Linked DNA regions of Bombyx mori. The protein of the gene in region 1 purifies or fractionates together with the protein of each later gene. This does not show direct contact. Links are inferred from orthologs where the notes say so. Each region holds a gene or a part of one and is shown in the gene's direction. Other genes may lie near its edges.

Region 1 (3,500 bases):
ATCTAATTTGGGGAGTTTGTACGAAGGAACTCTCCGAATCCTGATCACGGAGCCAGTTACCGTCGACGCCCTAGACACTTGCTTACGGATCCATTAGATCCAATAACTCTTGCATTAGTCGCCTTCAGCTCTAACGCTAGGCGCAAGCTTATGAATCCCGGTAACCGTACTTGTCGAATTCGGCAAAGAGTTCGACGTGCAACTAACTTAATAGGAGTGGGTAATATCGGTTTTGCCGCGTATCGAATCGTATCTATATATCGAGGATCAATATCGGATATTGAATCTATATATTTTCTGAATCTATATATTGATGGATGCTAGTAGATTTTCTCGATTCATGATATTTGAGATTTGAAACGATACGCTGATATAATATCGTAGTAGATATAGATTTAAGTCAACGTTATACGGTTGGTTTTCTGATATCAATTTATAATATGATTTTAAAGTAATAAAAAGAACATGAAAATAAAAATATCAAAAAAACTTTCCTTCATGCTTTTATCAGGCTTAGGACTGGCTACATTATTTTCAGTTTTTAGTATTTTGTATCTTAATTTAAAATTACAAAATATACCAAAAGAGTGTAGATTTCAAAAGTTTAATACAAACACAAGAAATAAACTCAATTATTTGGATTCAACTAAAAATAGAAAAATGTGTACTTTAAAAATCAAACACAAAAAACTTTTAAGTATTTATAAACACTTGTCCAAAAATTGCAGTTCAAGGTCAAAGCGCGTGAAATTAAATTGTATCCTGCTGATACGCTAAGAATAATCTACAGACATATGGACTTAAATATAAGGTTTACAATTGTATGGATAATGCCTGTTTCTGTTTCATTCATCACATGATATCGTGCGCTCACTCACTCTGGCCGATTCGATACGAACCAAACGAATATTGCTGATATTTACGAATCGGTACGATATGCCGATGCGCATCACATCGAGTAATATCGTGTATCGACTGATATCGTTATATAGATTTCGATTCACGAATCGGTACGATATGCCGATGCGCATCACATCGAGCAATATCGTGTATCGGCCGATATCGATATATAGATTTCGTGCGGGGCGATATCGGATTCAACGATATTGCTGCGATATATAGATATTGAATCTAGATACGATTTATATCGCCCACTCCTATAACTTAAACATCAGCCCGCTGATTTTCTCGCCGGATTTTCTCAGCGGGTCGCGATTCCGATCCGGTGGTAGACTCTGCGAAGCACGGCTCTTGCTAGGACCAGTGTTAGCAAATTCTCTCAGGTTGAGCATATGAGCTCACCTAGTCGTCCGCACGTGGCTGAAATAGCCCCTTAGGTTACCAGCGAATAAGTAAGGAAAAAAAAGCTACACTGGTGCACTTTCATAAATGGTAAAAAGTTAATAACACTAAATTAAAAACACCAAAAAGTCCCCCTTGTTCTGTTTGTTATATGCTGCCGTAAACATTATGCATTGCGACATATTTTATAATTAATACAAGCATCAGGGTTAAGAGTGAACCTTGTCTATGCATGTGGGTGTAGAGTCCACTGTCCAACGCGTCGCTGCACAAGGACGTGCCCGCGCCGCCCACCCCGCCCAGCGAGCCCGAGCCGCTGCTGTGCTTCCCCGGCGCGGAGAACACGCGTGAGTACGCTCAGACACCAACATATATGTCGTGGGTAACGACTTCTCTAATATTAAGACATTGTATTGATTAAATGATAAAATATTGTTTTGATAAATATCACAAAAATGTAGGGTAGACGTCGTAACGCCAAAGTATAAAATGGCGTATATATAATACTAATGGCGAATATAAAATACGTGGACAGAGTCGTCTCAGTCTGTCAGTCAGTATCAGTCAGTCAGTCCGTCAGTCGGTCAGTTGAAACGAAACTGTCGGTTTACCCTTTTATTTATTTATTTAACCACAATCAAAATCACATATAAACATGTAAAAAGTGAACAGAGAAGAGAAATTTAAGTTAAAAAAAACAAAAGCAACATTGTGAAAATTATTTGCTTAGAATTTCAATAATAATATTCAAAAAGTTTTATTGACTTTTATCGCAATAAACTAACTTCTACCGAATACGAATGATGACGGAACTCCCGCTCAGCCATCCGTGACGCCATCATATATTTGTTTACCTTTAAAAAACTGATTTGTTATAGTACACAGCAGAAGAGTAACCGAAGCGATATCTCGAGTGGAGTTCGCGAGAGAGCAGAGACTGCGGGAGTCCAAGAGCGTGGGCAGGGTGCTGGAGGCCGCCGTCACCAGCTACGAGCCCAAGCTGAGGCAGCTCACGTTCAAGTGGCAGCGCGGATTGAAGATCGGCGCCGGCTCGTTCGGCAAGGTACTGTGGTCAGCAGCACGTGGAGTGCGGTAGAGTGCCGTAGAGTGATGCAGAGTGACGGAGGTTGTGGTGCGCAGGTGTACACGGTGGTGAACACGGAGAGCGGGCAGCTGCTGGCCATGAAGGAGCTGAGCGTGGGCGCGGGCGACCGGCGCGGGCTGCAGCGCGCCGCCAACGAGCTGCGCGTGCTGGAGGGCGTGGCGCACCCGCACCTCGTGCGCTACTACGGCTGCGAGCTGCACCGGGTGCGTGCACACCACACACCTGAACCTTTGTACCGTTGTCCCGATGATAGGGAAATGTTTTAAAATTACTGGTGGACCTGTTGTGAGTCCGCGCGGGTAGGTGTACCACCGCCCCGCATATTTCTGCCGTGAAGCAGCAATGCGTTTAGGTTTGAAGGGTGGGGCAGCCGTTGTGACTAATACTTGAGACCTTAGAACTTATATCTCAAGGTGGGTGGCGCATTTACGTTGTAGATGTCTGTGGGCTCCAGTAACCACACAGTAAACACAGTGGGCTGTGAGCTCGTCCACCCACCTAAGCAATAAAAAAAAACTTTATTATACTCCTTAACGCGATCCTGTACAATACGACCGACGTAACTTGACGAGTCTGAATATAGCCGCAGGTCAACTTTCGCGCATTTACACTCGTAAAAAAAAGTGTTATTGTCATTCATTTTTTTTAAATCAAAATACGAATTAAAACTTCCATATACAGAGACCAAGTACAAATAAAATTAATATCAAAACACTATGAGAGAGAAAGCTATAAAAATAATGTAATAAATTAAAGAGAAATAATAAATTAAGACTGAAAGCTGTAAAAATAACGTAATTAAATTAATTAGAAAGTAATCCCGAAACATTGCCTTCAGTTGCGATCCGCTGTACTGTGCGTTGCGATACACCAGCTGCGTTAGTAACTCTTAAAAAACTGTCAAAATATTTTACGCCTTCTTCTTTTTCTTTTTTAAAAAAGCTGCATTAGATCAAAAATTGTTTTTCTCGCCTGGCGATATAAAACACTATTATGCTTTGGTGGCATCTTTGTTGACGAATAATATAAATGCCAAGGGACACTTAATACTAAAACAAACTTAAACACAAACAAATTTAAAACTAAACAAAAA
Region 2 (3,751 bases), on another chromosome or scaffold:
GTTCGAAGTATGTCACTTGTGCATGGTAATATTGACGTCAATATTATACACATAAATAATAGATTTTAGTATAGTAAAATTACATTGATCGAGAATAGTAATTGTTACCTGGTGTTAAATGATGAATATGTCTTTTTTAGTGCACTTAACAACGTGTTTCTTGATATTGGGTTGAGTAACACGACGCCATAATGCGAGTTTGTTTGTTTCTAACAGACGTGAAAAACAAACTCACTTTTGCATACAATTTGACTGCTTTGGATACACTAGAAATCATTTACGTTGCTGATGTCCATGGGCTCCGGTAACCACTTAACACTACGTGGGCCACGAGGTCATTGACCCTGCTAAGCAAAAAAATAAGAAAGAGTCGCTCTCACGTTCGACACTAACATCTCATGTGCTATAGAAAGTAAAAACTTCAAAAAAACACGGTTTTTTTAATTTACGTTTGAGGTAAAAAAATAAGTAGCTAATGATATACTCAAACTAACGTATTTATATGAATGTCTTCCTCCTCGCTCTGATGCAGGTAATGGAATTGTGGTGGAGACTATTAAAATACATCGACTTCTGAAGTTGGGTAGGTAGGTACAAGGATAGTAGTAACATTTTCACTGGACTTTTTGGCGGGAACGCGAGCAGTGAAGTTGTGTGATTTGTTTTATTTTGTCTATTTAGTGTTTCTTCAGGTTTAAATGTGTAATAACGGTGGTTTATTAAATGTTTAATATCTGTGAAAGTGCACCAATGTGGGAAAATGAAACAAAGCTGCTGGACGTAACTTCTCGGGTTCCTCCAAAAAGTCCACTGAAAAAATCTCAGTAAATGACCACCATTTTACTGCGATTATATTTCATCCCATATCATCTCATTTCATTAAATTTCATCCCAGTTGATTAATGTCTCAAATTAATCATCTTCATTTCATTTCACTCCATATTATCATTTTTCATAAAATTAAGAATATAAAGTAAAATAAGACATGACTTAAAGGTCTTAGTTACCAGGTCATAAAATCTCTTAAAAAAAAAAAAAACATTTTCACTACCTGCCCATAACTTCAAATAAATTCTATCCTGTCGTAACACTAGAAGAAATGCCCATTAGAAGTTTTCTCATCTTGCCGTCATGGCTCTACAATAAATATACTAAAGTCCTTGTACCTATTGAAAACGAATGTTTCATTACAAATAAAAAAACAACTAAACCAGAATCAAACCCAATTTTTGTTTTCAAATGAACCATATTTCCTCTGTTGAAATAAAAACCCAATGTAGCGGGAATTCCGATATTCTCCAATGCGCTTAACGATAACAAAAAATACCTTGACCTACCGTTCTGATAGTACCTACCCTTTTCTGGCCGCATTTACTTCAAAAAAGAAGAACGGGGTAGCTCCAACTAAATTGGTCCTTAAACAAGTCGCGACAAGCCACGCGTTCGCATTTCAGAAAAAACCACTCACACACACGTACCACGTGCCACGTATCATTATTATTATCTCGTATATACACTTACAGACTTACACTAGTTAAAACGACTCACACAACCGAAAATACAAGCGTTTTTCGAAGAAACTCCGACGAAACTGATCGGAGGATACGCACACATACAAATACTAGCGTGCGCATGCGCGGCCTTTCCAATAAAAGGGAACGCTACGTCACTTCTCCACATTCTACATTGAACATCCAAAGTGTACTAACGCGAGTTTCGTTAGCAAAGTTGTGAAATTATTGTGTCACAAGTTCGAATTACTGCGAGAAGTTCAAGTGTGTTTACATAATAGAAGGATTTTATGTAAAGTGTTAGTGCTTTCTGTGAAAATTCACATTCGGATTTCACTGCGGAGTTTGGAAATTAGTGAAATTCAAGAGTTAAGAAGCATTCGTCTATCCAAAATGTACAAGGAAGCAGTTGTTCCAGTAAAAGCCGAGACCTTCAGTGTCATAGCAGCTAAAAGGTAAATAAATATCTTAATACTTTACAGCTACAACAGGAAAAATTCAATATGCATAAACTAAAATGAATATTTCACAAGAATTTCACTTGACCTAGATCAAAGAACTTTAAAGTTCTAATAACTTCAAACATGCCAATTAGACTATAAATTGACGTACCTTATGCTTTTGATAATAATATTTTGTTTGTAGTATGGCGGTTAGCATCTCCGTTTGACATGCAAGAGACTAAAGTTTTTGGTAACATATAATTTATTAATGTATTTGTTTTCCCACAGCTCTATCGGACAATGTATCAAGACAGTGTTAAGGCGAGCCTGTGTCGAAAAAAGGTTAACTATTGGCTTACTTCCCGCCATTCAATACTTATCGAAGAACTGCAATGGTGCATTGTTTTGCCTGACCGCCGAAGCCCCGCCTGGCGATAGTGCAACGCATATGCAAGATGTCCTCCTGCAAGCATTTTGCGTTGAAAATGATATTCATGTTATTAAAGTGAGTTTCATTTTATTTCCTTCTTCATAAAATGAATTATACATAGTTATTATTAATTTTATATGACAATTTAGTTTCCACGAAGTAAAAAAAGTCATTAAAATTTCCGACTCTCTAACAAGAACCTATTAATCGAATTTATAACGATTCAAGGAATTAAGTTAAAAGGAATCAAAATAAAAAAGCTAACAAATTCGTTTCTTTGTACACAGGTCGATTGTGAGACTAAGCTGAGGAGAATGCTTGGTTACTGCTCTCCCATGGACTTCAGTTGCGTGCTGGTACACTATCCGTATACAGATCCATTCACAGACAGTCAAGAAATAGATTTATCAACATTATCTGAAGCCGAGAGACAGTTGATCGACCACTGCGAATCAGACTGGGGCTATTCACAAATGCCCGTCATCAAGTTGCCCGAGAAGTGAATTAAACATGAGGATATTATTGTGAAAAGAAAATTTTGCGATATTATTTTTCAAGTAGGTCGCCATTTTGGCTTAGGCACAACGCCATCTGTTGTTTGGTAGTTGCATTAAGTCTGCTTGAGAATGTTTTGGGGTTTGTTTTGAATTAAAATAATTTAAAAATTGATAGAGAGCAATTTGTAAAATGTAGGTGCTAAACTGCTACTGTCTTAAAATGTAAAAGTGTTTTTTTCATTGTTTCATAAGATAGTTTAATGTAACGAAAAATGTATTTATTATATCTTTATACCAATTTCGTAATAAATCTTTTGTAAAAGTTAAAACATAATAAACATGAATAAAATTTTATTTTATTTGTAACAAAGTTTCTTTTTTTCCCGCTTTTTCCCCTAAATATAATCTTAAGTTAAAAAGAAAAAGATTCCAGAAAGAAGCACAAGCAAGATAGATACCCATGATATTGAACTGTCAATAATATCAGGACAATAAATTTAGATAAACAATTTAAATAATTAATTTATGGTAGGAGCATCGTATAATGGAATTTTAATAAAAAATATGCTTAAGGTTCATCAGAAATTGAAATTTAGTATTTGCTGGAATTCTTGTATTTATCTATACTTCATAATATTACAAATCTGAAGTTTGTTTGTTTGAACACGCTAATCTCAGGAAATATTAATTGGTCCGATTTGAAAAATTATTTGTGTTAAAGATAACCCATTTATTGAGGAAGACGGCTATATAACATCTCTCTAAGACAAGTGGAGCACCAATAAAGAATGTTTCAAAATAGGGGTTTACATAGCTCCTTAACATTCTATAATTCAAAAATATTTTCACTTTCTATGTAAATGAAGTAGA

Evidence for each region.
Region 2: the proteins of mitogen-activated protein kinase kinase kinase 4 (region 1) and growth arrest and DNA damage-inducible protein GADD45 alpha purify together in Homo sapiens (co-immunoprecipitation; 3 studies listed by BioGRID and IntAct, with this or other methods). This does not show direct contact. The link is inferred for Bombyx mori from reciprocal best matches to the Homo sapiens genes MAP3K4 and GADD45A.

What each region holds. Positions count from the first base shown.
Region 1 is NC_085112.1:512,081-515,580, forward strand, and holds part of mitogen-activated protein kinase kinase kinase 4, read left to right. Parts: intron 1-1,546; coding exon 1,547-1,649; intron 1,650-2,180; coding exon 2,181-2,365; intron 2,366-2,442; coding exon 2,443-2,610; intron 2,611-3,500. UniProt on the Homo sapiens protein: Component of a protein kinase signal transduction cascade. Activates the CSBP2, P38 and JNK MAPK pathways, but not the ERK pathway. Specifically phosphorylates and activates MAP2K4 and MAP2K6.
Region 2 is NC_085134.1:418,475-422,225, reverse strand, and holds growth arrest and DNA damage-inducible protein GADD45 alpha, read left to right. Parts: upstream 1-1,436; 5' UTR 1,437-1,904; coding exon 1,905-1,966; intron 1,967-2,123; coding exon of another isoform or gene 2,124-2,171; exon of another isoform or gene 2,172-2,186; intron 2,187-2,242; coding exon 2,243-2,459; intron 2,460-2,671; coding exon 2,672-2,887; 3' UTR 2,888-3,251; downstream 3,252-3,751. Other genes in the region: electron transfer flavoprotein beta subunit lysine methyltransferase, read right to left, coding at 2,124-2,171. UniProt on the Homo sapiens protein: In T-cells, functions as a regulator of p38 MAPKs by inhibiting p88 phosphorylation and activity.